4 linked regions of the Alligator mississippiensis genome follow. The protein of the gene in region 3 purifies or fractionates together with the protein of the main gene of each other region. This does not show direct contact. Links are inferred from orthologs where the notes say so. Each region holds a gene or a part of one and is shown on either strand. Other genes may lie near its edges.

Region 1 (7,444 bases), on a different chromosome or scaffold from region 3:
AAGCCAATAACATTCATTTTCCTTTTAATCAGTGCTAATCTGATACACAACCGATATATCAGTGAACCTCTTTTGGAAATAAGGCATTTAACAGTTAAGATGTCCTAAAAAAAGCAATACTGTAAGGTAGATAAATCAGCACATACAAGTCCAACATCCAGAATAGTTCATTTTTCTACGAACGTTACCTTACAAAGATCTCAGCTCACTTGAACATCCCAAATGATCAGTGGTATTCCTCCTGGTTTCTAGAGTTCCTCTTTTGTTTAAAAAAGTTATCTACAAACGTAAAGGCAATAATTTTGGAAGAATTTCCTATATTATATAAAAAGCACCTTCACTGTGGCAAAAGGCTCAAAGCAAGCAATTCTCAACTAGGAGAGAGAGAGTGCAACAAGTTAAAGACTAACTTGTGCCCCCTACCCTTCCTGATCTTAGACTAACAAAGTTAACTACCTCTCCTATAGTCAATGATGGCACCACACAGCTGAATGAAATGGACTGCAATCTATCTACTTTAGAATTAAAGAGTTAGACTTTAAGATGCCATCCTTACAGCTGTTACTCAATTATACTAGTTACCAGGTCCATAGCCATATCACAGGATGTAAATGCTTTGCCTGGCATACAATTCATTTTACACTGCAACAAACCTGCAAGTCAGCACCTCTTGTTCAAAAGAACAGTTCAACACATGTGGTATTCCCTAGAGCAGGGGTGTCAATCATTGAGCCAGCAGGCCATATTTGGCCTACAGTCTCCCTATCCTGCCCACCAGACTGCACAGTTGGACCCTTTGGCCCTGCTGGGCATGGCAATCAGTAGTAAGCTTGGCTTGCTGCCACCAGACTCCAGTGTTCCTCCAGCCCCCACCAGACCTGCAGTGCCCGCCCTGCACCATGGTGGCTACTGAGGCAGCCCTCCTGCCCCAGGTTGGATCCAACCCACAAGGAGCCCTGCAGTCCAGATCCAGCCTAGTGCCCCATTGGGGGCAAATACTCCTGCCCAATAGTAAACTCATCAAGTCTTTTAAAATAATCCTAGTAGATACACTGGTATAACAACTGGTTAAAGCAAAGCTACTGATGAGGGTACTTTTACCACCAGTTTCAGGAATGACCTCCATGCTAAACAGGAAGTCAATCAGGAAGTCAACAGACAAGAAATATTGAAAATCACCAAATATTTAACACAAGCCACATTCTGATTCTTAAGAGTTCTGCTTAAATTGTTTGTTTGTTTTTTAAACCGACTAAATTTAATGTAAAGCATTCATAACCTTTATACCGAATATCTAATTTCTTCTGTGACTTTAAAGCTTTTTAAGTACTACCTTACTTCTTTAGAGAATAATAAAAATTGGGGGTACAGAAATTAATGCTGAACAAGCTTTCTCCCTTATCACCTTTTAGCTCTAGTACAGAACCTTTTACACTCCACCAGGGCTAAGTATTGTGACCCACTGAGCTGGGAAGCTTCAGGGCTAGTCTATTCAGGAAAACTGACCACAGAATAACCATAATAAGAGCAATTAATGCAGATTAACTACTTGAGAACAGCAGCCACACAAGGGAGGTACACCAGCACAACTAAAGCTGAATAATTCTCTTGAGACAGCTATGGCAGTTTCCCCTTTGTAAACAGAAACATCCTTTTCTGAGCTCACTAGCCACCAGCTTCAAACAAGCCCACATATCAGGAAGCCTAGATGGCAAGACATACCAAGTGAGAATATCAGCCTGCCCCCACTTAGTTCTCTAACCAGCTCGGCCAGCTGCTGGGGAGACAGAAAATGAAGATCCTGATTTCCGCAGAAACAATGAAGCAAAATCAATATTCTCAATATAGGGAGACGGGAAAGGAGGATGAACGATTTCACAGGGCGAGAAGCAGGCAAGAACCAGTAATGAAGCCAGCTACTTAATCTAAGGGTGGGGCCCTTAAAAAAAAAAAGAAAAAAAAAAGATAACAATAATTTAGTTACCACTGCTGGACTGCCAGGCACACAACCGTCCCTTCACAAGTGCATCCACCTTGCAGAAAGCATTATTTCCCACAGATTCACCCCCAGCAAGTGCCATATACACGGAGATAGAGATTAGTTTCCATTGTGAATGTCATCTGTACAAAGGCAGGCTACTGCTGAGCTAGGCCTGCACAGACTGGCCTCCACCCAAACAATAGCAGCTAAAGTGCGAATTCTGCCCCAGCCCATAGGAGCTGGGGGGAGGGGGATGCTGCTTCAGAGCCCGTTTTGGACTGAGCCGGCCGCCCACGGGTGAGCGCAAAGCTGTCAGAGCGAGGCTCCGCACCCCTTTCTCTCCGGCAGGTTGACTCTCACTCTTTATCTCCCCTCCCCTGATCTCAGCTGGAAGACAACAGAGGCTCCCCACCACCTGCTCGGCCAACAACACGAGTCGGGGAAGGCAGCCGGGTGCCACGCAGAGGCCTACCGCAGCCCCCACACCCCGCCGGGATCCAACCCCCTTTAGCGGCCCAGGCACGGCCTGCCCCCGCGGCTGGGGGGGAGGTGCTGGGTGGGCGCGCGCTCAGCGCCGCCTCCGGGGCCCGCGAGCGCCGCCTCCAGCGCCCGGAACCACCGATGAGGGAGGCGACAGCGGCGGCCACAGGGCCCAGCCCGGCCGGCAGCGCTGGGGAGGGGAGGGGAGGGGATGGGGGGCCCTGCCCGCACCCCGCGCCCGGCGGCGTGAGGGGGGAAGGATCCGCCCCCGTGCCCCGCCCGCGTGACGGGGAATTAAAACCCGGAGGCATTTTTCTGGCGGCCCCTCCCCGCCGGGCCGGGCCGCGGGAGCCGGCTGGGGGGGCGCGGCGCGCAGGGCCCGGCGCTCACCTCCACGTCGCGGCCCTTGTTCTTGAAGCTCTTGATGCGGTGGTTCTCCAGGCCCGCGGCGGCGGCAGCGTTCTCGGCCATGGCGGCGGCGGCGGCGGCTCCCAGCTCCTGCGAGGCGGCTCCGGCGGCGGTTCGCGGGGGGCGGGGCACGGACGTTCCGTGACGAGCCGCGGGGAGGGGCGGGGCGCGCCGTTGGGGGGGGCAGCGCCGTTGCTGAGTGACGGGGCGCGCGGCCCCAGGCACGTGACGACGCCCGGACGCAGCTGCGCGCGCTGGCGCGGAGCCGAAGCCGTTGCGGCGGCTGCGGACCACAAGACCCAGCATGCCCTGCCGTCCCGCCTCCGGGGGCTGCGAGGCCCAGCGTCAAGCGGCAGTTGCTCGCGCGGCGGCTTCGCTGCGCTGCTAATAGGGAGGGGAAGGGGTGCTCCGGCCTCGGGCTGTTACCATACGGCCCCCCGTGGTCCCTGCAAGCGCCTCCGCGGGGTGCAGCTTGGCCTAGGTTCCTCCTCTGTCTCCCTCCGCTCTCGCTTCACGGGAACAGGCCCCTTGTGAGCCGGGTAGGCTTTGGCCCGTAGTTCCCAGTTCGGCTTGCACCGGGTCCGGGGCTAGGGCCTAGGCCTTGCACAGCTGCTTAGTTTCCTCCTGGTCTATCAAGCTGTTCCCCTGCGAGAACTGAGTTGCTCCCAAGCCTGGGCGGATGCAGGCGCTGGAAACGGGGTGCCCGCAGCGTGGTGGATCATCACCTATAAAGCAACAACCACCCTTCTAGTTAAAAATAAACCTGAAGTTTCAGGGATAGGGGCCTGGGGCTGTGTCATTCTGTTAGATTGAAGCAACACAATAACAAAGAGAGTTAAACCTGCAGGGCTGTGAGAGAGCTCGTTCCCACAAGCAGACAGCAGCATGGCAGAGCAGAGGTTAGCTTGACTGGTGGAACATCAAGCCCATGAAAAAGAAGAGTGGGTCGCTAACACGTGGATGAAGAGTCTAGAAATGCTGCTGGTACTGCCAAACAGGTGGTTGTAAACTAAAGGTGAAGCAGGAATCAAAGGGGGTGCAAGTGCACCATCTGGATCCACTTCTGTTCCCAAGGGTGGCGATTTCAATATTGGTGCCTCCAAGATGGACTTTAGAGGCCAAAGTAAAAAAATGGCATGATTCACAAGTGGTCACCTATGCTGGAGGGTGCAAGTGAGAGATGAACAGTGAAAAAAAAACCCATTTGTTCTCCCTCTCAGCATCCAATCTCTGCCTCTGTGTGACACAGGATAATACTGGGAAGATGGACCTATGATCTGACCCAATACATGTCAGTTCTTATGTTCCTACGATATCACAGAGACTTGGTGGGACAGCTTCCATGACTGGAATTTCAGCAGTGAGAGCTACACTCTCTTTTTGGAAAGACAGGATTGGGAGAAAAGGTGGCATTTGCTTTGTATGTCAAAAATACATATTTGTTCTCCAGTTCAGAAAGAAGGTCAGAATATATGTGGGTGAAAATAAAAGGTGAAAAATACAGCACCAATAAAATGGTGAGGGTTTATCATAGACTACAAAGGATGAAAGTGTGGATGAGACACTTCAAGAAAGTGACAAAATTTATCTCAGTTATGAGATTGTCTTGATGGGAGACTTTGATATTCCAGACACCTACTGGAAGAATCATATAGCCAAACATAAAAAGTCAAGCAAGTTTCTACCTTGTGTGGAGAACAGCATTCTTTTCCAGAAAGTTGAGGGTACAATTAGGAGATCATCTATCTTGGATTTTGTCCTGACTAATAGGGAAGAATTGGTGGAGGATGCAAAGGCGAGAAAAAGATCACAATATGATAGAATTTATGATCCTAACACTGGGAAAGTGTAAGATCAGCAGAACTAGGACACTGTATTTCATAAAGGCAGCTTTCAAGTGACTTAAGGAGATGGTACTCATCATGTCATGGAAGGACAGACTAAAGGATAAAGGCACCCAGGACAGCTGGAAGCTTCTAAAGAGTATTGGAAGGTCAACAAGAAGCTGTTCCAACATGACAGAAGCATGAGAAGAATGGCAAGAGAGCAATCTGGCTGCACAGGGAGCTTCTAAGATGCTTCAAAAGCAAAAGGAAAGCATACAGGCAATGGAGAAATGGGCTGATTACCAAGAAAGCATACCAGGAAATAGAATTTGCAGGGACAAAATCAGGAAGGCAAGAGTAAAAAATAAACTTCACCTGGTAAAGCAAGTTAAGGGCAACAAAAAGACATTATAAAAATACTAGCAAATTCCCCGTAAAGAATGACCGTGGGGGGCAGGTGGGCGGGGATGGAGCCCCGTGTCCAGCTCCGCCCCACCTTCCTGTCACACCAGGCCCAGGCCCAGACCCACTGCCCCCACCATGCCCCCCACTTCACCACTCTGAGCTCCACCCCACTCCCCCCGCCACACCCTTGCTCCCCACCACCACTCTGGCTCTGGCCCTGCTCCACCCCGCTCCGCCTGTCTGGGCTTGGGAGGGCAGAGAGGGAGACAAAGTGCAGGAGGGAGTGGGGCAGGGGCAAATTACTTGCTCCTGCCCCACTCCCTCCTGCACTGTGGGGATTACCCCACGACCCAGCCATGCCGGTGCCCCTTTCACAGTGACTGGGGCCCCCCGGTTTGTGGGACAAGCGGACCCCAGCAGCTCCTCCAGAGGTGTGGTGCTGGGAAGCTGGGGGCCCCCAGTCTGTGCATAGGGTAGGGGCAGGATCTACCTCTGCTCCCTGCCTCGCTGCCGCTGCTTTGACAGCGGCGCGGTACAGCACCATGCGAGTCCCGCTGTGTAGCAGGCCATGGTGCCGCACCACTGTCGAAGTAGTAGCAAGGCAGGAAGCAGAAGCAAAGCCCACCCTTGCCCTGTGCACAGACAGGGGACAATGTGCCCCCCTGCTCCGCTCCTTGGTGTCATGCCTCTGGAGGAGCTGCCAGGCTCCAATTGTCCCATGACCCGGCCCAGGTGGGGCCACATTCACTGTGAACAGGGCCCCGGCTGGGCCAGGGCATGGGGCAATCAAAGCCCAGTGGGTGGTCCAGGGCCATGGCACCAGGGAGCCAAAGTGAGGGAGAATGTGCCCTGGTTCCCCCGTGGTGCACGCAGCTGCAGAAGCCGCCTGTCCTCACCCCTGGAGGAACCACTGGGCTCCAACTGCCCCATTACTCAGCCCAGCCTGAGCACAACCCATCCCACCCGCCCTCTTGGCAGCGTATGCACAGTTGGGCCAGAGTATTCTGGACGGACAGACAGACAGATGGACAGAGGGTCTAAGGCTTTTATTATATTAGAAATTAGGCCAGAAGAGAAAAACAAAGGAAGGTATGGGTCCTCAATTAAATAGACAGGCCAAACTCTTAACAAGATGTTGGCTCAGAGTGGCACGAGATGCATGGGTGCATGCCTGCCACGCCCCCACACCCTGAAGCCCCCCAGCAACCTCCAACAGCCACAGAGCACCCCGATGACCCCCAGCACAGCCGGAGGTAAGTGGGGCCTGTGGTGGGAGGGGACTAGGGTAGCTCAGCTGCGGCGAGGCAGCTGAGAGGAGCCAAAGAGGGTCTTGCCCTGTCCTGGCTCCTATTTGGCCCAGCCCCCCAGGGAGCCACACAAACAGGACACACAAATAGGCGTGCTTCTGGGCCCGGCGCATGGCTTAGCGTGGGAGTTCACTCAGGATGGTGAGCGGGAGGGCCCGAGGCCCTGCTAGTGAGTCCTAGGGAAGCTAGTGCCATCAGTAGCCAGATTACCAGCGGCACAACGTGGATGGGCACACGCCACACCCCAAGGGTCCCCTTGGAATCTGCAGCCTCTCCCTCTGGCACCTCAGAGGCCTTCACCCAGATGGAACCCACAGTTCTGGGCTCCATGCAGACAGAGCCTCTGGCTCTTGGTTGCCTGGCACATTGCCAGGCACGTGGGACCAGGACCATGACCACCTCCTCTTGCAGGGTTTGCTCCACTTTGTAGTCTCTGGGGCACCAGATTGAGGAGCTCCAGGCCACAGTCCAGAGACTACGTGCCATCAGGGATGGCAAGCAGGAGATAGACTCCTACTGCCAGGTCCTTCACTCCCTGGAGGCAGAGGGTAGACCAAGGTCACCTTCCAGGACAAGGGAGGACTCAGGGATCTCCCACACAGTCCGGCCAGGGGGTTGGACCAAGGTGGTCAGCGGCCCCAAGGCCCGCTGCACCAAGGTCCCCTCCCCTCTGGAGTTTTGCAACAGGTACAAATCTCTTGCAGCCCCAGTAGAGCCTGCAGAGCTGCCAGCTGCTGCTGGCAATGCAGGCTCACCCACAACTACCATTCCTGCTCTCCCTAAGGCCACTCGTAGAGTGGTGGTTGTGGGAGACTCCCTCCTGAGGGTGACTGAGGGTGCAATCTGTCGCCCCACCCCCTTAGCCCAGGAGGTCTGCTGCTTCCTGGGAACCCGTGTCCAGGACATGGCCAAGAGGATCCCTAAACTCATCCAGCCCAACAACCACTACCCTATGCTCCTTTATCCACGTGGGCATGAATGACACGGCTCGGAGCAATCCCAGCCATGTTATGAGATGCCACATTGTTTTGGGAGCG
Region 2 (6,868 bases), on a different chromosome or scaffold from region 3:
GTTGGGCAATGCAAACTCCCCTTTGCCCCGAGTTGCTGTCATGTTAGCAGCACCAACCCCCACCGCACCACTGTCCTGTGGGCAACACAGTAGCTTCCCTCCACCTCCCCTGCCACCTAAGCCCTTCCACTGCACCAGATGCAAGCTAATCAGGGCTCCTCCCAACGTGCTGCCCTGACCTAGTAAAGGCTGCCTACACTGAACCTCCGCAAAGTGCTCCCCACCAAAACTACAGGCTAGAATCCACATCATCTAGCCCCTTTGTCACACTGACTTGAAAGGCTACATTTGACCAGATAGATAACTTTCCTTTACAAAAGCTATTCTGATTTGCTTTCATATTAAGGACTTAAGTAGCTGTTACAGTCGATTACTATTTTGACTTATCTACTCAGAAGTTATACCAATGACTCATCTACAGTTCCCAGGATGATCCCCAGGATTCTCTTAAAATAAGTACACGTATTTCTTTCCAATTCTCCCAATGCTAGTAATAACTTTTAATGGAAGACTGCACACTTCTATTAGCAGAGCAATCCACAAGTTCCCTCAGAACTTCTGGATCTATACTATCTGCTCCTGCTGACTTGCTGCTCCATGATGCATTCTAACACCTCTTGTTAGCGCATCTCAATATCTGACTTATTTATCTGTTTATTAATAAACAGATGAAGTATGAAACTAGTATTTCCCCAGTATCTGCTGCTGTAAAGAAGAAAGCAGCCATCTAGCTTTTCTCTAGATAGATTTTACTCTCAATTGCTCCCTCAACTCCCAGAACACCTAAAAAGATTCTCCTGAACCTTCAATTTTGTATCTGATACACTTGAAAGCATATATACTCTTTGCTTTTTCCATCCCTTTTTAGTTCTTCTAATCCCTATATTTCACTGACCTATTATACACTCCTTTCTTCACTTATTTTCCATTTTGAAAGAGACAGTGGTTTATTTGGAATGACTTCATGCACCTTGCTATATGGCCATACTTCCCTGAATTAAAAAGGGAAATGTTTTCCTTCTGCACACGTAAGCATACTTCAAGTCAATCTGTCATTTGTCCCTCCAGAACAACAACTGTTGAAAAACATTCCACACTCTCATGGAAAAAAGCCACAAACAGTTAAAAGGAAATCAACACAAGCCCTACAACTACAGAACAGCAGCCTCAAATAAAGCATATTATTCTACTAGGTTCAGCTGACTGAGCAGAAAAAGCGGGTTGCACAGCAGCGCTGAACTTATGACACTATTCCCTTTGAAAAAATCAGACAAGGCAACTAAATACATGTTTTAAGCTTAAAGATCCCTCGTTAAGAATGTTTCAGCAACTGTTGAAGAACCTGTAACAAGAAAACCCAAACCTACTTTATTGGGAGTAAATCAAGCTCTTTTCCTGTAATGTAGCATTAATTATATATTTTTTTCCTTTCTAAGTGAATTGGTTATCCAAGAGAAATACAACACTGAGCTCAGTATATAAGACCCAGGGTTCCCATCAGCATATTTACGAGATTTGTAGCAAATGCACCAGTATATAGCACTCTGATTGTTAAAAAGGAAAAAGCCATGTCACATGCAGCAGCAGCCAAGATGTGATACAACAGAATGTTTTTAAACAAATGGAGGGAGACCTCAATAAACCAAAAGCAGATAGTCTCTAATTCCCAGGGGTGGCTGCATTCTACCAGAAAGCAAAGTTGTAACTGCACCTACATGAAAATTTATGGCAACAGAAATCAGCTGTTGATAAGAACCCTATTCTCAAGGTTTCCTCGGTGATGCAACCCATCCAGCCACCCTCCCAATTTTTATGCCACAATTTTAAGGATCTGCCTACACCAGTGGTGCTCAACCTCTGAACCACAGGCCAAATGTGGCCTTGCAGAGCCATCACATTTGGCCCACAGAGCTCCCCATGGATACAGAAATTTAGTGGTGAAACAGAAATGGCCACCCCCCCCCCCCCGCTGCCAAATTTCCATGGCCCCTTCCCTCAACACAGCCAAATCTGGGGTGCGCCATGCCTCCTTCTCCCCACCTCAGGGTTGGGTCTGGGCCACACTCCCTACCTCGCCCACCCACCTGAGTCAGGGTTGGGTCATGCCCCACCCCGGCTGAATTGGGGTTGGGACACACCTACTGCTCCTATCTTTTGCAGCTGGGTTGGGGGCAGGTCGTAACCCCTTCCTCACTGTCCTTACATGCCCCCACAGGACTGGATTGGGCAGGGCTGTTTCCTGGCCCCCTCTGTGCAGCTGGATGGAGCCACACCACACCTGCCCATGAACAGACCAAGTAAGGCCCATCTGGCCCACCAAGGGAAAAAGCTGAGCACCACTAGTCAAAGATATGACTGCAGCTCATGTAGCTGTATCTGTACTGGCTTTAAGCTAGCCACCTCACATGCCAAAAAACAGTGCAACCCTGACAGCGCAGAGTTCAATGCAGATGCAAAATCTACCCACAAAGTTAGGTAAATAGGAGATGGATCCCTGCTGGCAGCTTAAAGCCTGCATTGGTATGTTTACATGAGCAGTAGTCACACCCGGGGCTGCTGCAGACACACCCTTACTGCCACAGCTGTCACCAAGAGCAAGAGGTGAGGCTGGACAGCATGAGGACAGGAGAGCCCCAATCCTTCTGCCCCCTCTGCCTGCAGAAACAGTAGCCCCAAGTCACAGCAGCACTCCCGAGCCGGGGGGCAGCCGGGCCACCAGCAACTCACTGAACGTAGCGACCTCCAACCCGGGGCAGGAGCCCGCTTACCAAGGGTGTGTGCCTACGCCGGCCCCCTCCCGCCCGGGGCCGCCCCGGCCTGGCCGCCTCCAACCCCGGGCGGCCCCGGCGTCCGCCCCGCCCGGCCGAGCTCTGCCAACACGGGCAGCCCCGTCCCGCCCCCCGCTACCTGCGGCCCGTCAGCCCGGCCCGGCCCCGCCGCGTGTCGTGTCGGGCCCGAGCGCGCGGGCACGGCTCCTGCCTGCCCGGAGCTGGCTGGGACCTCTACGCGCATGCGCCGACCTTCGGCGCGTAGCTTCCGGCGCCGGCGCGCAGCCCGCTGGGACACGGGGCCCACTTCCGGCCGGGGAGGGTGGGGCGGAATAGGCGAGACCCTAGTAGCCACAGACTCCATACCTACTACGGCCGGGCGAGCCCACGGGACTACATCTCCCAGAGTGCAGCGCAACACGCCGTTCTCCTCTCCAACCCGTTTTCCAGCGCCAGGCCTTGGCGACTCAGGGCTCCCGCGCATGCGCGGCGGCGTCATTGACCGCCCGGCCCTGACCCGGGGTCTAGCGGCGGGGGCGGGGCCGCTGAGCCAGAACTGCTACCTGCGCCCCTCGTCACCGGGGGGGGGGGGGTGCGAGAATTACCGTATTTACACGAAAAGTTCTGGGGCTGAACGATAATTTTTGAGGCATCTCATTTATGCAAGAGATGCGAAACCCAAATTGTTCTTGGGGACTTGTAGCTGACTTTGCGGCTTGCCGTCAGCACTTTCTTATGATGTCTTGCCTCAAAGGAATGCATCAACTTTGATGATCCAGTTCCCACTCCTTCACAAGTATTTGTATACTTATTTGCATATTTGTTCAGTGTACGATAGTTTTGCAGCAAATGTGATCATTGTGAACTTCCAATGCGATAATTTCATATTTAAGACCTGACAACACTGCCCTCACGCCTGTCTTTGGCAGGGGCAACTGACATCATAGCGTATGGCGTCCTCTCTCAACAGCCTGGACTGCGTCGCATCCACTGGCTGCACGGCGGGTCACAGTGCCTGCCTGAAGCTGTGCGGCTCCTCTGGAGGAGGGGAGAGGGGCTGCAGTCCTTCCAAGGGGGAGGATGTTTTGCAAAGGACCTTCACAAAATCCTTGGCAAAAACGTGCACCTTGCATTTGCCTTTGCCTCAGGGGCACCAGTTGCCTGCAGCACGAGGGCTTCTGTCCTCTGCCATGAAGTGTTTCTGAGAGCGCTGCACAAGGAAGCAACACCAACATGGTTTAACTCAGTCTGGAACCATAGCGCTACAGGACTGCACCATGAAAGGGAGGTGCCCATGTGTACAAAAGAGGTGTGGGGTAAGTGTGACATAGTTAAGTTAGGCCCAACATGACACTTTTTTTAATTTCTCAAGTATTGTAAACTCTATCCTACAAATACCTTTTTAAAAAGTCCACCCAGATGAATCAGTGTTTTTTGACACTGTTCTTTGTGAAATCCCCCTCCCCTGACATCCTAGAACAGCAGGGGGAAAAGCTAAGGAAAAGGCAGAGGCAAGGAAAGGAGAAAAAGTACAACCCAGAGGACTCAGCAGTCTACAGAGCAGGAACTACAGGGCCCCAGGGACAGGGGGCTCTACAGCCGTTGCTCCAAGAAGGAAGAGAAGAGTGGCGTTTGTCAACTCCCTGCTGCAGCAGACAGAGGCACCAGCTTGACTACATTTGGGGTCCTGAGAAATGTGTGTCTGCCTCTGAATTCAGGATGTCACAGAGAGACTACCAAAGCTCATCTATCCTTTAGACCACAACCCTTTCCTGCCTGTCCTTGTAGATACCAACAACACTGCCAGGAGCAACAGTGAGCAGTGTCCTTTAAAGATTCCTGAGGCTCCTGGCATGAGACTGAGCACAAGTGATGTTTTCATTGATACTCCCTGGAAAGGCCCAGGAAGGGACCACCATGGAAATAAATGTGTGGTGAGATGGTGGTGTTGGCATGAAGGCTTCAGATTTTTTAACAATGGATGGATGTTCTGGGGAGGAGAACTGCTATCAAGTGATGGGGTCTGACTGACCAGAACGGGAAAGAGCATCTTGGGCATTGTCTGGCCAACCTAGTAAGGATGGCTTCAAATTAATTATGGGGGTGGTGATCAAAATCTTCCAGTAATAGAGCAAACGATCCAGAGGGGAAAAGACTGGAATAAGCAATTCAACTCTGGGAAAGGTGCCAGAGAGCCAAGGGACAGCAACAAGTGGTGCAAAAAAGAAGCAAGTACATCAAAATGCAAAATACATGTACACACATGCAGGAAGTGTGGGAAATAAAGAAGATGATCTGGAAGCTGTAGCCTGTGAAAGAAATATAACCTGATCGGTATCATAGAGACCCGATAGGACAGCTCTTATGACTGGAATATCACATTGAGGTTTGCAATTGCCACCAAAGTAAAATTGTAGCCTCTTGTTGGACTGGATAGTCTCCTTTAAACTCACCTGCCACAACTTAGATGGAAAAGGAAGGAACCAAAGATGGACACAGTCCTGTGAGACAAAGTTGGTGTTAAATCTACAATTTAGAAGACTGGCTCCTCTTCACAGGGCTCCCCTATTCCCATCCCCTGTCCTTACCACACCAAATGTTTCAGCAGTAATCTCATTAGGTCCCCTCTGTGGGAGCCTCAGTCTCTGGGTTGCCTTGACTGATTTCTAGGCAGCCGGTTTCTTGTTCTTGGTTGCTTGCCCCATTATTTCCCACACGGGTCCCAAGCAGACCATCATACAGCTTGTCCCTACCCTTATCCTTCAGGACACGATTATATTGGGCCAATGCCCCAAACTCATGTTCACGCTCGGTCTCTTCTTTCCCCTCCTTCATGTCTCTGGATTGCAGTCCCACACCCACCGGACTCAGACTCACTGGTTTGGATGCTCCAACGACCTCATCCTTCCTGCTCCGTGGGCAAGTACTTCTTCAAAATACTCTCCTGAGTCCCTTAGGTTGGTTGCATGCCACCATTGTCACTTTGTGGTCCCACGGGTCTCCCTCCATGCCATTCCCTTCACCCGAGGAGAGCTGACTGCTCAGTCGGCTCTCTTTTAAATTCCCGCACTGATCAGCTGTGTATTCAGCTTCAGTGTCCCATTCACTGCTTTGCTGGCTGTCACAGCTGATTGCTTTAATTACCATCTGGGAATTCCAGCATGACTTTTCTCCCATTCGGGCTCACCACTGCAGTAAGTTTAGCTTTTTCCTTTGTTCTTTTGGTGCTTTGTGACCGGGTAGGCTTACTACCCTGTGCCCTGGTTAGGGGGAACAAGACAGAAAAGTAGCATGCGTTTGGATGAACATGAAAGGTGAAAGATGCAGCACTGATATAATGATGGGGATTTATTACAAGCTCCCAAATCAGGAAGAGAAGATGAATGAGGCACTCTTCAAGGGGGTGATAAATCTATCCAAAAGCTATGGTATGGTACTGATGGGAGGCTTCAGTTTTCCAGACATCTGCTGGAGGCTGCAGTTTTCCAGACATCTTATTCGACCTGGAGGGATGTGGGCAGTGGCGTTCTGCAGGGCTCAGTCCTCAGGCCCGCACTATTCAACATCTTCATCAGCGACTTGGACAAAGGGGTAAAAAGCACCCTGTTCAAATTTGCAGATGACACTAAGATGTGGAGAGAAGTGGGCACGCTAGAAGGAATAGGCTGCAATTGGATCTGGACAGGCTACAGGGGTGGGCAGATGAGAACAGGATGGGTTTCAACACTGACAAGTGCAAGGTGCTGCACCTGGGGAGGAAGAACTAGCAGCAGACCTATATGCTGGGGAACTCCCTTCTCATCAGTGCAGAGGCAGAGAAGGATTTTGGCGTCATTATTGAGGCCAATATGAACATGGGCCGACAGTGTGGGGATGCGGTCAGGAAGGCCAACCATACCTTGTCATGCATCCACAAATTCATCTCAAGCAGGTCCAAGGAGGTGATCCTCCCCCTCTATGCGACACTGGTCAGGCTGCAGTTGGAGTGCTGCATCCAGTTCTGGGAACCGCACTTCAGGAGGGATGCAGACAACATGGAGAGGGACTGTCACGGCGGGGTCCTCGCGGAGGGCCGTGATCTCCTCAAGGTCCCTTGCTCC
Region 3 (7,311 bases):
AGTTCCTCCATGGAAGTTTTCCAACAGTACAGGATTCTTTTAACCTAGCACAGGGATCAGCAGCCTGTAGCCTGCAGGCCAGGTCTCATTTGGCAGTAGGGGCTCTCCCTGTGCTGTGCCACAGTTGGCTGGCAGGAAGAAGTGGCAGAGGCGGTCTGGTCCTAAAGCTCACACACCTAAGATCTGAGCCAAGTCATTCCAGTCCCCCACCAGAAAACATTTCCAACCCCTGATCTAGCAGGCAAAGCTAAGACAAGAGACAACAGCTAAAAACTGAGCCTAGACAAATTCAGACTTGAAGCATGGTGCAAATTCCAAAGTAAAAAAAACCCCTTGGAACAGCATACCAGGAGATGTGTTGGATTTCCATCATTTTGAGTCTTAAAATCGAGACTGGGCATTTTCCTTAAAACATGGTTTAGCACAACCAGGAGTTATGGCCTCGATACAATAGCTGGGTAAAATTGTATGGCTCATGTTATGCAGGAGGTCAGGTTACATGGGGGATAATAACGGTTCCTTCTGGCTTTGGATTATAAAAATCTATGAACCTAACCTATTTTTCCTATTTTAGGAAAAATATATTTATATAAAATATTTCTGAAGTAAAAGTTTCACTAGCAGCTTAGTTAGGTAACAGGCATCCAAAAGGTAGCATGTTATAAGAGGGAACAGGACTGCAGCTGGAAACAACCAAGATGCCTTCACCTCCCTTACATCCATCATTGCGTAATAGGGCTGGAGGGGGTTGAGAGGATCGCCCTCTAGATCCAACCCCTGGCATGAACACTACTCCTAAATCATGTATATCTGATGCTTATCCAATTTCTTGAGAACTTCCAATGAAGTAGTTCACAAAATCTTTGTCTGCTAACATTTCCAAGCAAGATTTTGACAGGGATATTTAAAAATGGGAGAAGTTTGCAACTTTATTTGTAAATCATCCTTAACTAGGATTTTGGAGGAGGGGAAAAACCAAGAACTAAATTTATAAGCTTTTACACAATTATCTCTTCTATTTTGATTAGGTATGAACTATAAGCAATCAAAAAGCCAAGACTCCAAAAGTATTAACTCATTTACAATGCATCTACAGTTTATCATTTAGGTGGACATTTAAAATTATGACTAGTAATCACTAATCAATGTGAAGCACGGGAAAGATTTTTACTAAGAAAACTTCAGTGTTTTTATATTGCGATTTTGGAGTGTTTGTATTTACAATTTTAACATCTTCATTATTCTTTTCTACATTTATTTTACTATTGTGCTTTTTTTAGTCTTTTTGCATTGTTAGATTCAAAAGTAAAAAGTCACAGCATCTCATTCATGTCAGTAGTGTTGACATTTAAATAAGGATATTTTGCCTCAGAATTCAAAAACATTAATACATATCATTTTGAAGGACAGGTGGAATCCCCCACTTGCCAGTTGCTAATGTTTACTATTCTAATATTTACATTTTTTTTTTTTTAGAAACACCTCTACTTTCTTCAAATGTGCTAATGGAGAAGTAGAAATGTTATAGTGTATGCTCTATAGTTATACAAAACATAAGTAAAACATGCAAAAATGTAAGTGCTTTTATAGATTCTCAGTACTATGACAACTCATTATCTGCACCAGCCAATGAGCATTCAAACTGCAGTAGATACTGCTTGCCTCCACCTTGGCTGTAAGAACAGACTGTTTTTAAATATCCAGCTTTGGGATCCAACAGTCCCTGGCCTTCTACCTCAGCCTCCTGAATCTCGTCCTCTGCCTTCTTATCCACATTTTCTATTTCAGAGAATAGTTTGTCAATGATCTCAGGAACGTTGGATGGGGCGTCTCTCTTCAGCAGCTCTTGAACAAGCTCTGAAAAATAAGGTGCATGAGGCAGAAACGGAGTGAGCACCATACAAATGTTATGAGTAGCACATCATCTCTGAACAAGTCTGTACAAGCAAAACCCATTGGTTTACATTTTCTTCATATTTTCCTGGCTAATAAAAAAGCACAAACAAGGAGACCAAGAGAAGCTGAACAAAGTAACTCCTGAGAAACAACTCTATTCTAAAGAAAATTTATTTTAGTTAAGGCATAAGGCTATATTCTGCTAAACTGCGGCAGTGAAATCTACATTTGTCAAAGGAACTAAACATAAGTAAAGAGTGCAGAATGTGGCACATCTTATCTGTGAATAAAATGTCTGCTTCCCCCAAGTCTTTTGTTCCCTCCTAAACAACTTTTATTCTTGGGCCCTCTGAAAGTATAATGTACACAACCTGTATTCAGGATCTTTGATACTGGTAAGCCAACGCCAGCGCTTCCTTTGAGGATCATAGAACAACCTGCCACCACCGATTCTAGAATCCTAAAACCCCCATGCATCTTTATAAAAAGAGAGAAAACTGCTAAATCTTTAAATCCCTGCCCTTGGCTTAAAAGGAAAAAGTCGGACTTGATCAGGTGCTCTCTTAACCACTCTCAGAATGTGGAAGGAATGAGGTTGCTTTAGTGGGTAAATCCCTTACAACGGCAGCTGGAAACTACTCCTCAGAGCAGTTTAGGGGACCAAATAAAACCATATAAAACCTTTTTGCCCTCCCTTGTCTCCAATTCCATAGTTTTTCACGTGCTAGCTTAAATATCTACCCCCAGTTGGGCAGCCAGTAGCAGCACTACACGGTACAGACATGAGAGCCCAGTACCTTGCTAACAAAAACCCTGACTCTGGTCCAGGAGCAAAACGAATCCCTCCCGCACCTCTGCCCCAGTCACTATAATGTTTGTTTTACTCAAGTCGACGGAAAGCTCCCTGTAATCTCTGGCAAGAGAGAATAGTTTTAACTTCCAAAGACATCAAAAACAATAACGTGAAAAGGCAAAACAAGTTTTGTCCAAGTCTCTTAACTGATGAACTCAGGAACACACAAGGCTCTGCAGCCACTGCGAGTTTCACAAGTTACCTTATTACATATTGTCCTAACAAAAATGAATCTGTCGACCACATTTCCTTTCCTGTAATCCTAGCACGCCAGAACTAATCACGCATTACTTTTAATTGTAAGTTACGTAACAGAGCGTGCCCTTTTCCTTGATCGGGAACAAGTTATCAAGTACCTATTTTAGACTCCAAAACTAAAACAAATACAGGTTGCTATTTCCTCTGCAGCCGTGCGCTCAGCTCAACCGGGTACAGGGCGAGACACGGCCTTCACGTCGAACGTTACGCACTGGTCGCTAAGCTTTTGGTTTAGGGCCAGAAGTATTTCACCCGGGGCGGGGCCCCGGCAGCCGGAGGCGTCCCGCTTCACGGCACATCTCCCCTGACGACTCAGCCTGTTCCTGGCGGCCCGGCTCCAAGGCAAAGCAGCTCGGCACCACTGAACAGCCAGACTGCCCGGCAGTCGCCGCTGCACCCCCGGACGTGCTGCGTGTCTGCCCAGGAGGCTGCCGGCTCTGTCAGAGCCTGCTCTCGGGACGCCACCGCGCCCGGCGCAGCACGCAGCCCCGACGCCAGGGAGGCAGACGCACGCCACTGTGACACTGGAAAACCCTGCCGGCCTCCCGTCTACACCAGACACAGCTTTTCGTATCGGCTGTAACGAGCGCCCCATTGCTCGTCTCCCGGGCGACTCTCCCGGGCGCTCGTCTCGAACTCGAGGCTGTCCTGCAGCACGGCGCTGCGGTGGCACCGGAGCGCCGTGGGAGCAGAGACGGCGCGGGAGGGTTTCTCGGGGGAGCTCTTGCTCTTCTCGGAGGCGGGAAGCCGGGCGGCGCTGCACTGCATTGCACTGGGAGACGGAGGCTGGCGAAGGGGGGTGAGGTGGAGAAGCGGGGTGCGCAGGGCCTGCAGTGAACCAGGCCGCCCCCAGCAAGCAGGGCCCCTCACCCCGCCACACCAGGCTGCAAACCCTCGGCGGGCAGGGGAGGGAGGCGCTACCTTGCAGGGCGGGGAGGCTGGGGGCGCCCGCCATGCCGCAGCGCCAGGCTGCTCGGGCCTGCCCCAAGCACGAGGCAGCGCCTGCGCCTCACACCCCGCTCCTCGCACCTCAGCGCCTGGGCGCGCGAGGTATGCCGGGACACGCGCCTGGCTTTCGCGCCTGGCGCGAAACTACAGCTCCCAGCGCCCCCCGCGGCCGCGCACGCGCACTTCCGGCGCGGCGGAGGCCAGCCCCACGCGGCGATTGGCTGGCGGGCAGGGCCCTCCTCCAATGGGGGCGCCGCCCCGCCTCTCCTTGCGGAGTGGCGGGCGCTGGGCCCAATGGGGTGGGCGCGCGGGCGAGCGGGGGAGGGGCGGTTCCGGCGGCGCTGCGCCGGGGCTAGAAGGGCGGGAGGAGCCGGCGCGTGCTGCGGCGCCATGTCGGGGCTGCTGGGCACCTCGCTGGGCGGCCTCAGCAGCGACTCCTACTGCGACATCAGCCAGTACCGCGACCAGCACTTCCGGGTGCGCCGGGGGACGTGGGGCAGGGCTGGGGAGGGGGTTGGGGTGCGGCGGGCTGTGGGGGAGGGGATGGGGGTAGCCGGCCCCCCCGCGCTGACGCCCGCTGTGCCCCCAGGGGAGCCGGTACCTGCAGGAGAAGTCGCTGAAGGCGTCGTCGACGCTGTACGTGGGGAACCTGTCCTTCTACACCACGGAGGAGCAGATCCAGGAGCTCTTCTCCAAGTGCGGCGACGTCAAGCGCATCGTCATGGGTCTGGACAAGATCAAGAAGACGCCGTGCGGCTTCTGCTTCGTGGAGTATCCTGCAGCCGCTGCCTGCGCGGCGCGGTGCCCTCTTCCAGGGGCTTCTTTGCTGCCCCTCGCCGGGTCTCAGCCCTTTCCGCGTGTGGGACGGGGCCAGGCCGGGTGGGACCGCTGCTCGTGCTGGCGCGCGTGGTGTCTGGCCGGCGGAGGGACCGTGCGGTCGGTGCGTTGCTCCGGGCGGGGGTGTCCCCCGCGCTGTGCCGGCCCGGTGGGCGGCTGTCGTGGCGGTGCCCATGCACGGCGCGCATCGCAGTGCGTGCGATCACCGACCGACCCGCGCAGTAGCATCTTCAGCGGCCGCGCACGGGCAGCTAAACGAGGCGTCTCCTACAAACGAGGCTCGAAGCGGGGCTGATGCAGCTTGAAGTCCTGCGTACAAATTCAGCACGCGCTGTCCCGGAAAGGGGCACGTGTAGCGCCCTGGGGGCAGCGCCCGGCCTCTCCCTGAAGCGAGGGACCCCTCGCTGTTGCTTTCGCTGTGCCAGAGCTGAGACGCACGAGCGCGGCCTCGCGCTGCGCTGGGAGGGGACTGGAGCCAGTTAGCGTTTGGGTCTTGAGTTGAAAGTCAGGGTTCCTCCATGCCATATAAAATTACTCTCTCTTTCTACCTCCCTACCCAGCAGAACAGCACCTTGTATTTTCCTTATAAGTTATTCCAGATATTACACAAGAGTGGAAGCTGAACATGCAATGAGATTTATTAATGGCACCCGTCTGGATGACCGCATTATCCGGACAGACTGGGACGCAGGGTTTAAGGAGGGCCGGCAGTACGGGAGAGGAAAGACGGGAGGACAGGTAAGCAACAGACCAACGTCAGTCTAGAACATGGCTCCCCGGGGCTCAGCTGGGTGCTGCTCACCGTGACTGAGCCAACACAAAGCAAGAGTAATGCAGCGTAGACCCAATAACTGAACTAAAGCCGGTCAAACTGGTTTAGTACCTGATGCTGGACTGGAGTAAGTGATTGACAGTTGCTGCTGCTGAAGAGCTGGGTTCCCGGCTCCTGAGGGCGCAAAGTGAATGTTGCTCTGCTGTCAATGAGATGCTGTCAGATTGATGGAGGAAACAAGCAGGGAGGAAGAAACGGTGCTCGGGAAAGACAAGTGCTAGTCTGGGATGGTTGACACAGATGACTCTACCTCAAGCAAGGGGCTTGCCCTAGATGTGACCCCCTGAAGGTCTTGCCAGCCCCGTGTTTTTGTTGTGTGGTTGCAAGGGCAGTCTTGTCAGACGGGATGCGCCAGTGGGAAGATGAGATTCATTCCCAGATTTCAGAGGGTTCAACCTTGACAATCCGTCAAGCCAGACTGCAAAGCCAAACTGAACAGTGTTTGGACTGTTTTGTATTGCTTTGACATTCAAAACAGCCCCACACTTGTCCTGTCCCTGTTGTGATGGGGTGTTATCAAGCGAGTTGAAAAACATGAACTTGCACCCTGGCTTTCAGCCCACCAACTGCTGGGGTGAGGTGGAGAGGAAGCTGGCTCCTAAAAGCGTTGTGACATGTAAGTAGGTGGAGGGTGTTAATGCCTCCTCTTGCTCTGCCCCCAGGTGCGAGATGAGTACCGGACGGATTATGACGTGGGGAGAGGTGGCTTTGGCAAGATCATCCAGATGCAAAAGGCGAATCAGCAGACTATGATCTACTAAGTGCCTCATTTGTCCTAGCACAGAGAAGGGCACTGGTCCTCCATAGATAGCCCTGTCCTTGCCCTTTGGACTGGGATGGGGAGCAAGGTCCAGGTTCCAGGACGAAGTGATCCTCCTTAGACTGGCTGTCTACATTTGCTCATTCCCCTTCCCTTTGGGATAGAGAGGCTGTTCCCTGCTAATGCAGGGCAGCAAGGGAACAGCGTGGCCAGCTCTGCAGGATTCTCTTTAAGGACAAGTGCAGCATGGCACCCAGACCCTGGCAGCAACTCACTCCTCTTGCTCTCTCTGGCACAGCTGGCTGCCTCCAAGCTGTTCTTCCAGCCACTGTTGTTTCCCTCAAGTTCAAGCTTTGAGAACTCATCAGCCATCAAAGCTGTCTCACCTGCCCAGGCACAGGCAGGAGTTTCAAGTCTACCGTTTACATTGTCTCCTGCTGTTTTAAAGCACTGTTGCTGGCTTGGGTTGGAGAAGCATAATCAGACTGTACTGGCCAGTGCAAGTGGTGCCTGCACTTCTATCCCTGGGCTCAGTCAGACCTGCAGAGTCCCTGTCCTCGCCGTGCCCTTGGCACTGCCTAGGTGGGGCACAGTCTCCCAGTTACTGTGTGGTTTTTGTTAAGTGTCTTTTGGGTTTTTTAAATAAACGTATAATCCTGTCTCTGCAGTCTGTGCTCTGGTGCTGTTTACCTGTGACGGGCCTGGGGGGCACATCCTGCATGCTAAGGGATGGATGCCTGCATTTGTCTGAGCTTCCCCTTGGTGTGGGTGTCACTTTTCTTCTCGTGTTTATTCCTGGTTGAAACAAGATGGAAATCAGCAAACTAGTGCTCCCGTGCTCCCATCCAGGTGAGTGTGGATAACTTACTACTGTGACTTAATTCACCATGGTTCCTTTACTTCCCACTGCTTGCCCATTCCCAGTTA
Region 4 (7,064 bases), about 77 Mb from region 3:
ACACTAGTGTGACGTGGTTTGCTAGTGTGCTCCTTTGATGACCTAGCATTCACAAAGTAATATGTTATCTCCTCCCAAAAGGCCCCCCTCTCTCACAGATTTCAGTTTCAGGATTAAGCAGAATTTCCTCAGAAGACTTTAAAGATCAGACAGCACTAAGATAGAAGAGTCCTGTCAAATAGCAACACCCTATAGATTACCAAGTCTTGCTTGAAGTCATAGTAGATACAACTGCTAGCCAAAGCAAGACAAGCAGCTGTAGCTGACCCGCTCCAGGTTTGTGTTCCAGGCTTCTTTTGCTAGACACCCAGGTTCAGATTTTTGGAAGAGTTCTCCATATTAGGCAGGGAAGACATGAACAATTTTGAAACTCTGGCCCCCAGTGACTTTCCCTCATAAATTAATTGGCCTGAAAATGATGTAAGTGCAGCACACTGACATACCTGCTATGTTTCCTAAAGCCCACACAGCCTGTTCACTGATGTGAGTATGAGGAGAAGCCAACAGGGAGATAAAAGCTGGTATGGCTCCACCATCTACCACAGCCTTTGTTTGCTCCGACGTGCCAGAAGCAATGTTAGTAAGTGCCCAAGCAGATTCAAACTGAATAGGGCTACAGTCTGCTCTCCCTAAAAAGGAGACAAACTTGGGGATCAAGCCAGCCCGAATTATGTTGTCTATGGGGGGCTGTTTCTCTCTGGACAGCAGTTTCCTAAGACAGAAACAAACACAGGGAGTTAATTTTTTTGGTCTACTACAACCTGAACAGTAGATTCCAATTTAGTCAGCAGAAGACCCAAGTTTTACTTTAAAAAGATATTCTTCCAACAGTGGCAAACATCCAAAGAAGTTCAATAAAGACTAGCTGAACACTACATTAAGTGGTTTAAAGACTGCTTTTGACAGATCCAGCTTTGTATTGAAACTGTTTGTTAAAAAAAAAACCAAAATCTGAAATTAAGCCAAGCTACTTGGTTGTGGAAAAGTAATAATGCACTTGGAACTGCTTGAAGTAAATGGCAATAACTGCCAGAAGCTGCACTACCATCTCAGGTAATCATCCTCCTACCTCATTGTGCAGGACTTTTCAAACTTCAACTATTATGCTGTATTTGGAACCAACACTCTAGGGTGAAAGCCTCCCTCTTTCACCTCCACTTTCATACATTAAGCTGAGGGAATGCTCCTCAGTACTAGCATCTCATATTCCAGCCTTACAAATAAATCGCAATACCCGCCACCTCTATAGAGCCGAGGATAAAAAAATCTGACACTTCCAACATCCACATCACCCTTAACACCATGAGACAGAAGGAAAAGTACAGCTCAAGTGCCAGGTGAAGTCTCATGCTCAGAGGACACCTCTAAACAGTCAGAGAGCACCAGCGCTTGTGTAATTCCATTTACGCTCAGTCCCTTGAATACTGACCATAGCCCAGAGAACTCATTTACTTACCTGAGGCCAGATAACACAGCATTATTTATTTACTATTAGCAACATTTGCCCAATATTAGCCTGCCAAAATCTCAGCTTTATGTTTGGTGCTTGTGCTCTGCGGAGTTAAACCCTGTTCCTTATCCCCAGTCACCAAATGACACTTACACCAAGTCGCTTACCTTGCGGCCTGAGTAGCCTGCAACTGCAGTTCTATGTTGTTACTGCTAATTCCTTTGACTATTTCTTCAACAGACCAGTGTGCACAGACCTGTCCATGGGACAGAAACAGGTTTAAGAACTACGTTAGGAGAAGCAGAAACTTCATAAGAAGTTTCTCTCTGCTTTGGCAAGGATCTATGGCGTTGTGCTTTTGACATCACCAAGCGTAAGGCACCAGGTGTAAGTACGGTGCTGTACAGGTACTCAAGGCTCTTTGGGCGAATCCGATATCCTTTATTTGACCAACTTAAATAGTTGGAAAACATCTTTTTTAGGAAGCTTTCGGGTTTAAAAACCCTTCGGCAGGCTGAGGATGGCCCTGCAGTTGGTGCGTGCTCTTCCCGAGTACAGGTACGCCTCACTTAACCTCGCCCCGGTTGACGCAGTCTCGTTACTACGCTGACGATCTATTAGAAAACACGCTCGTTCAAAGTCGCTCGGTTATACCATCGTTTGGCTGCCAGCGTAATCGGATCGACCGTCGCGTTTATCAAGAACGCGACCGCGTTCAGCAAGGAGTCGCTGTACACGCGGGACTTTCAGCGCCAAGGGGGAAACCAGCCCTAGTCTGCAATAAGCCGTAACCTCTTGCAATCAGAGGAACACTTTTGGACCCTCATCTTGCTGGGACCCCGTGACCCTGGCTGACTTCCTGCCCCTGGGGCGGGGGCCGGACTCGCCCGTCTCCCCAGGTCCCTTCCAGCCCCGACGCCTACGACGCCACTGCCGGTACCTGATTGCCCCTGTTTTCCTGCAGAGGAGAAGTGGCGTCGTCCGGTAAAGTGCTGACGTTTCTCCTTTTAAGCATCTGGTCGTCTTTCTTGGCTTTCCTCAGCTCCACGTTGACTTCGATACGCCGCCGCCGCATTTCCTGAGAGGAAAAGGAAATTGTCACGTTTTTTGGTTTTTTTTTAATTTTTAAAGTGCAAAGCGGCGCTTTAAAAAAAACAAAACATTAAAAAACAACAACGACGACAAAAAAAAGACCCCGAAACCCAGCGACGCCTCCAGGCCGGGCCGGCGCTCACCGTCGTGTCCTTGCCCTTGTTCTTGAAGCGGTTCAGCCGGGCCGCGGCCGCGGCGGCGTTCTCGTTGGCGGACATCTGGGCCGGTCGGGGCGTCGCAGGCAGCACGGATGCAAGAGGCAGACCTGGAAGGAAGCCGGGGGTGAGAACAAGGGAGAGCCGCAGGATCCCCCCGCTCCCCCCGGCCCCGGCCCCGGCCCCGGCCCCGGCCCCGGCCCCGGCCCCGGCCCCGGCCCCGGCCCGCACCGCACCTCAGCACACCTCCGCTCCGCGCGCTGGCCGCCGCCGCACTGACCCGCCGAGCACGTTGCCGCCGACCCCGCCCCTCCGCCGCGGCCCCGCCCCCGGCGGGATTTAAATTTCCCGCTGCCCCGCTCCGCTATTGGTCCGTTCGAGCCACAGCAGCCTCCTCATTGGCCGGTTTGAAAAAACCAGCTCGCCTCGCGAGGCAAGCGGAGCTCTCGCGAGACCCTCTCCCTCGGTCGCGTCACAACCCCCGAGGACTGCATCTCCCGGCGTGCAGTGCGGGACAGAGGGTCAAGGAGACTACGACTCCCGGCAGGCCTCGCCCGTGCTTCACTCTGCCCGCGGGGGAGGGGGAGGGGGAGGGGGAGCAAGGCATGCTGGGAGGTGTAGTCTTCCCCCATGGGTCCACCCCCAACTGTACACAGCTCGGGTTTAGAGCGAGCAGAAAGCAGGGAAGAAGCTCATGCAGCCAAAGTGTGCAAGGACAATTTTCTTGCCATTTTCCACTTGGTCTAATGAAAGGGATCATTTTGGATCTAAGAGTTCTAGTTTTTTGTATGTCAAAGACTTGAGCGGCCTTTTAGGGCGCTGAGCTACGGGAACAGCGCTGCCCGTGACGAGCAGGGATTATTCAGGCCCATGAAGGCTGCCGCGTCCTGCACCAGCTTCCACTCCTGGCTGGGTGGTGTGGCCCCCCTCCAGATCTGACTGAGGCCATTTCGAGTAGATGAAGTGAGGATGAGACCCGAACGGTGGCTCCCGACCGCTGCACGACAACAAAAATACTCGCTGCCGGGCCCAGAGATGGAGCAACAACACTTGTTAATCCGCAGGATCCCAAACCACTAATAACATCAGGGCTGCCTGATCGCACCTGCAGAATACACCAACCCCAGCAGTCCTTATATGCGAAACCTTTCTGGGCCCTGCGGGACGAGGACCAAGAAAGCCAGCGGCACTGAGATGTTACGCGGCACCCTGCTTTCCAAAAGCTCAATCGAAACCGGATTGTTACTGAGCAACAACGACGCTGTCAGCCACCTGGCAGAGCTCCTGGAAGAGGAGTCTCACACGCTGCAAGACAATCAGCACCTGCCTTCTCCACTGCAAAGCCTCAGTGCTTCCCATGCATCTCCAGCAAAACCAAAGATGTGATTTCCCTGCTCTACTTGGCACTGGTGAGACCGCAGCTGGATACCACGTCCGGTCTGGGCACTGCACTTCAACAAGGACGTGGCAAAGCTTGAGAGAGTCCAGAGAAGAGCCACTCGTGTGATCGGAGACTGGCACAGCAAGCCATACGAGGAAAGGCTGGACATCTTCAAGAGGAGACTGGACAGTCGCCTTGCTGGGGTCACTTGACCATGGGTGACTGGTGCCTCCTGAGTCTGGGGGGCACCAGATTGCCAATGGGGGACGGAGGTCTCCCAGCGGCCAATTGCCGAGCCAGCGGTGAAACAGGAATGCACTTCGGGTTCTGCAGCTGGCACTTCCAGGGGGTGCACGTGCACCCACGTGCACCCCTTCCATGTTGCCAGTGACCCCACTTGTCTTTCCTGCCTAGTGCAGGGGGCTGGACCCGATGATCTTCCAAGGTCCCTTCCAGCCCCTACAACCCGTGTCTCTATGAATTAACAAAAAAAGATCAGAATCCAGAGCACACTTTTCCCAACACAGCTGGCTGGAGTCAAGCAAGCAGGAGCCTGTGCAATACAACCCAGCTGTCCAGATCTCACCCAGAACGACAGGCATCGATTAAATTAGAGCGTTTTGACCGTGCAGATCCAAAACCCAGGGTCGCTTACAGGTGGATGACCAGAAGCCCCTGGGAAATGACACTGCAAGCAAAGACAATAGGAAAGGGTCAGAAGGCTTGATTTATTCACTCTGAGACGGGGCTTATTTTGTACGTAGTTTATTCTGAGCCTTAAAATAAAGTTTGTTCTGATTCTTAAAGTTCTTAAAAGTCTTAAAATAAAAAGGGGTGATGTGAGGCTGGGTAGCCGAGAGGGAAGCAGACAAAGCCACCTGTCTGCAGGGGACGACAAGGAGCAACGGCCCTAGACTGCCAGAGCTGGTTTCGGGCTGGACATAAGGAAGAATTGCTATTTGCAGTCTGGAGTCGCGTCCCAGGGAGGCGGTGCCGTCCCCAAGTCCTCCAGAGGGGCTCGCGCAGTTGGGATCACTTGATCTCAGGCCAGAGCAGGCGGTTTGTTTCTTCAACTCCTCATTCCTGTGCAGGCAGCAGCACCGAAGAGCCGGTGGCAGACAAGGGGCAGAGTGCAGGTGGTTGAGGCTGAAGCTGGTCCCACCTGCTTGTCCACAGCCCATTTCCTGGAAGGACATCACCCAGCTTGCATTTCGCCCCAAACGGACGCACTGCAGCCTCCAGGGGAAACTCAGACCCCGGCCCCATGCGCAGCGCCGTGCACGGCCCCGCGCCCGCGCCCGCGCGGCCGGCAGCGCAGAGCAGGGAGGCTAGGCCCCGCCCACTCCGGGGCGCGGCCTCGTGGCGAGAGCGGCCGGGGCGGGGGCGGGGCGAGCGCGCGGGCGGGGCCCTTAGAACGCGCCGCGCGCCGCTCTCGCCGGGTGACCCAGTGGCCTAATGGATAAGGCATCAGCCTCCGGAGCTGGGGATTGTGGGTTCGAGTCCCATCTGGGTCGTACCGCAAACACGTTTTTGCGGCGGCCCGGCGGCCTCCTCCTTGCCGGCAGACGCTTTTAACCGCGCCTGGGCCGCCCTTGGCCCCGGGGGAAGGGCCTGGGAGCTGCCGAGGGCTGAACAATGGGCAGCGATGTGCAAACTACGGCGGTGCAGGGGGGGCTTGTTGCTCTGGTGGGAGCAGGGAACAACCCCGCTTATCAGGGCTTTAGTCCCTTTAAACGTCTCCCCCCGGTCCTCTCCCAGGGCTTTTGCTACTGCTAGTCAGGCTTTACTAGATGGGAAAGACATTGTCATCATCCAGCCGGGCTGGGAGCAGGTGCCACATCTGTCCCCGGGCACGCTGCACAAGTGTTCGCTCGCCAGCGGGACCGGGAGGCACTGGTACGCGCACGCGAGGCGCGTCGAGCCAGGGTCAGGGAGCAGCCGGACACACCGCTGCGTTTCTGCCATTGAGTCACCGAAGATAACGATTCATGGTTTTTTTTAAAGGAATTATGCCAGGACAAGACACGGGCACGTGAACGATTGTACTTTGTGCCGGTATAAAAATGGTTATCCCAGGACAAACGCAGCGTCTTTTTGTAGGCCTGTTGCTCAGCACAAAGGTACCACCATTCCTCCGCCATTACGACGGATACCCCAAAGGGAGTGAAATTGCGGGGAAACATCCCAACGCGGCTACATAGGAGCATGGGCTGGGGTGTTACACAGCCGGGGGTTATGACTGTATACAGTTTTCTTTAAGGACCCCACATACAATCCGCTGAGACTCGGATATAAATCACGTACAAAAAAGAAACTTTGTTATAATTCACAGCACCGCACCCTACCCTCCCTCCAGCCGTCTATGCAACCTAGCCTGCGCTTTCTTCTCTCGCGCTTTCTTCTCTCGCGCTTTTGGACTCTAAGCCAGATCATTTCTTTACTAGTAGAGAAGTTTAAACAACTTAAATATGGTGATAATAAAAAAACACACCCAAAAAACCATGCTCAGCTGCTTTAAAAAAACAAGACACTTTGCATCCAGGGAGATTCTGTTGAAATCCTTAATTTCACAGATACAATCATTCAAACACGAGCGATATCCGTGATATACAACTCATTTAAAAGGAAGAACATTTCCATGTTGGCCATAGCAATGAGCCACAAAGAGATGTCTGAAAACTTTGTTTTATTTCAAGATTTCCCACTGAGGGCAAAACCCAGCCCTAAGACCGCAGCACCCTCCCACATGTGCTTGGGCTTGAGCAGTGCCTCGCTACAGAGCCATGTGGCAGGAGCACCGGAGCGACCACATGCATTGATTAATTGGAACAGCGATCATCCTCACTAAGCCACTTAGCCTGAAACAAAGGGCCAGCCCCAGTGCTGCGCCTGGCTTTTTGATGGAGGGCTCCACATGGTTTGTCTTCCTCTGGCTGGAAAGATGTGTTTTGGCACCCAGCCCACGGGATCTTCCCTATCACACCTG

What was found.
Region 1: the proteins of nuclear cap-binding protein subunit 2 (region 3) and KPNA3 purify together in Homo sapiens (co-immunoprecipitation; 3 studies listed by BioGRID and IntAct, with this or other methods). This does not show direct contact. The link is inferred for Alligator mississippiensis from reciprocal best matches to the Homo sapiens genes NCBP2 and KPNA3.
Region 2: the proteins of nuclear cap-binding protein subunit 2 (region 3) and KPNA1 purify together in Homo sapiens (affinity purification with mass spectrometry; 3 studies listed by BioGRID and IntAct, with this or other methods). This does not show direct contact. The link is inferred for Alligator mississippiensis from reciprocal best matches to the Homo sapiens genes NCBP2 and KPNA1.
Region 4: the proteins of nuclear cap-binding protein subunit 2 (region 3) and KPNA2 purify together in Homo sapiens (affinity purification with mass spectrometry; 4 studies listed by BioGRID and IntAct, with this or other methods). This does not show direct contact. The link is inferred for Alligator mississippiensis from reciprocal best matches to the Homo sapiens genes NCBP2 and KPNA2.

Annotation. Positions count from the first base shown.
Region 1 is NC_081824.1:414,741,489-414,748,932, forward strand, and holds the start of KPNA3 (importin subunit alpha-4), read right to left. Parts: upstream 3,006-7,444; 5' UTR 2,933-3,005; coding exon 2,852-2,932; intron 2,328-2,851; exon of another isoform or gene 1,985-2,327; intron 278-1,984; exon of another isoform or gene 189-277; intron 1-188. UniProt on the Homo sapiens protein: Functions in nuclear protein import as an adapter protein for nuclear receptor KPNB1. Binds specifically and directly to substrates containing either a simple or bipartite NLS motif.
Region 2 is NC_081824.1:238,043,161-238,050,028, reverse strand, and holds the start of KPNA1 (importin subunit alpha-5), read right to left. Parts: upstream 3,018-6,868; 5' UTR 2,908-3,017; intron 1-2,907. UniProt on the Homo sapiens protein: Functions in nuclear protein import as an adapter protein for nuclear receptor KPNB1. Binds specifically and directly to substrates containing either a simple or bipartite NLS motif.
Region 3 is NC_081831.1:83,089,437-83,096,747, forward strand, and holds nuclear cap-binding protein subunit 2, read left to right. Parts: upstream 1-4,295; 5' UTR 4,296-4,345; coding exon 4,346-4,432; intron 4,433-4,544; coding exon 4,545-4,726; intron 4,727-5,391; coding exon 5,392-5,530; intron 5,531-6,286; coding exon 6,287-6,385; 3' UTR 6,386-7,043; downstream 7,044-7,311. Other genes in the region: TEX11 (testis-expressed protein 11), read right to left, coding at 1,736-1,857, 3,929-3,962. UniProt on the Homo sapiens protein: Component of the cap-binding complex (CBC), which binds co-transcriptionally to the 5' cap of pre-mRNAs and is involved in various processes such as pre-mRNA splicing, translation regulation, nonsense-mediated mRNA decay, RNA-mediated gene silencing (RNAi) by microRNAs (miRNAs) and mRNA export.
Region 4 is NC_081831.1:6,287,652-6,294,715, reverse strand, and holds the start of KPNA2 (importin subunit alpha-1), read right to left. Parts: upstream 3,018-7,064; 5' UTR 2,934-3,017; intron 2,808-2,933; 5' UTR 2,761-2,807; coding exon 2,686-2,760; intron 2,529-2,685; coding exon 2,391-2,528; intron 1,707-2,390; coding exon 1,618-1,706; intron 713-1,617; coding exon 444-712; intron 1-443.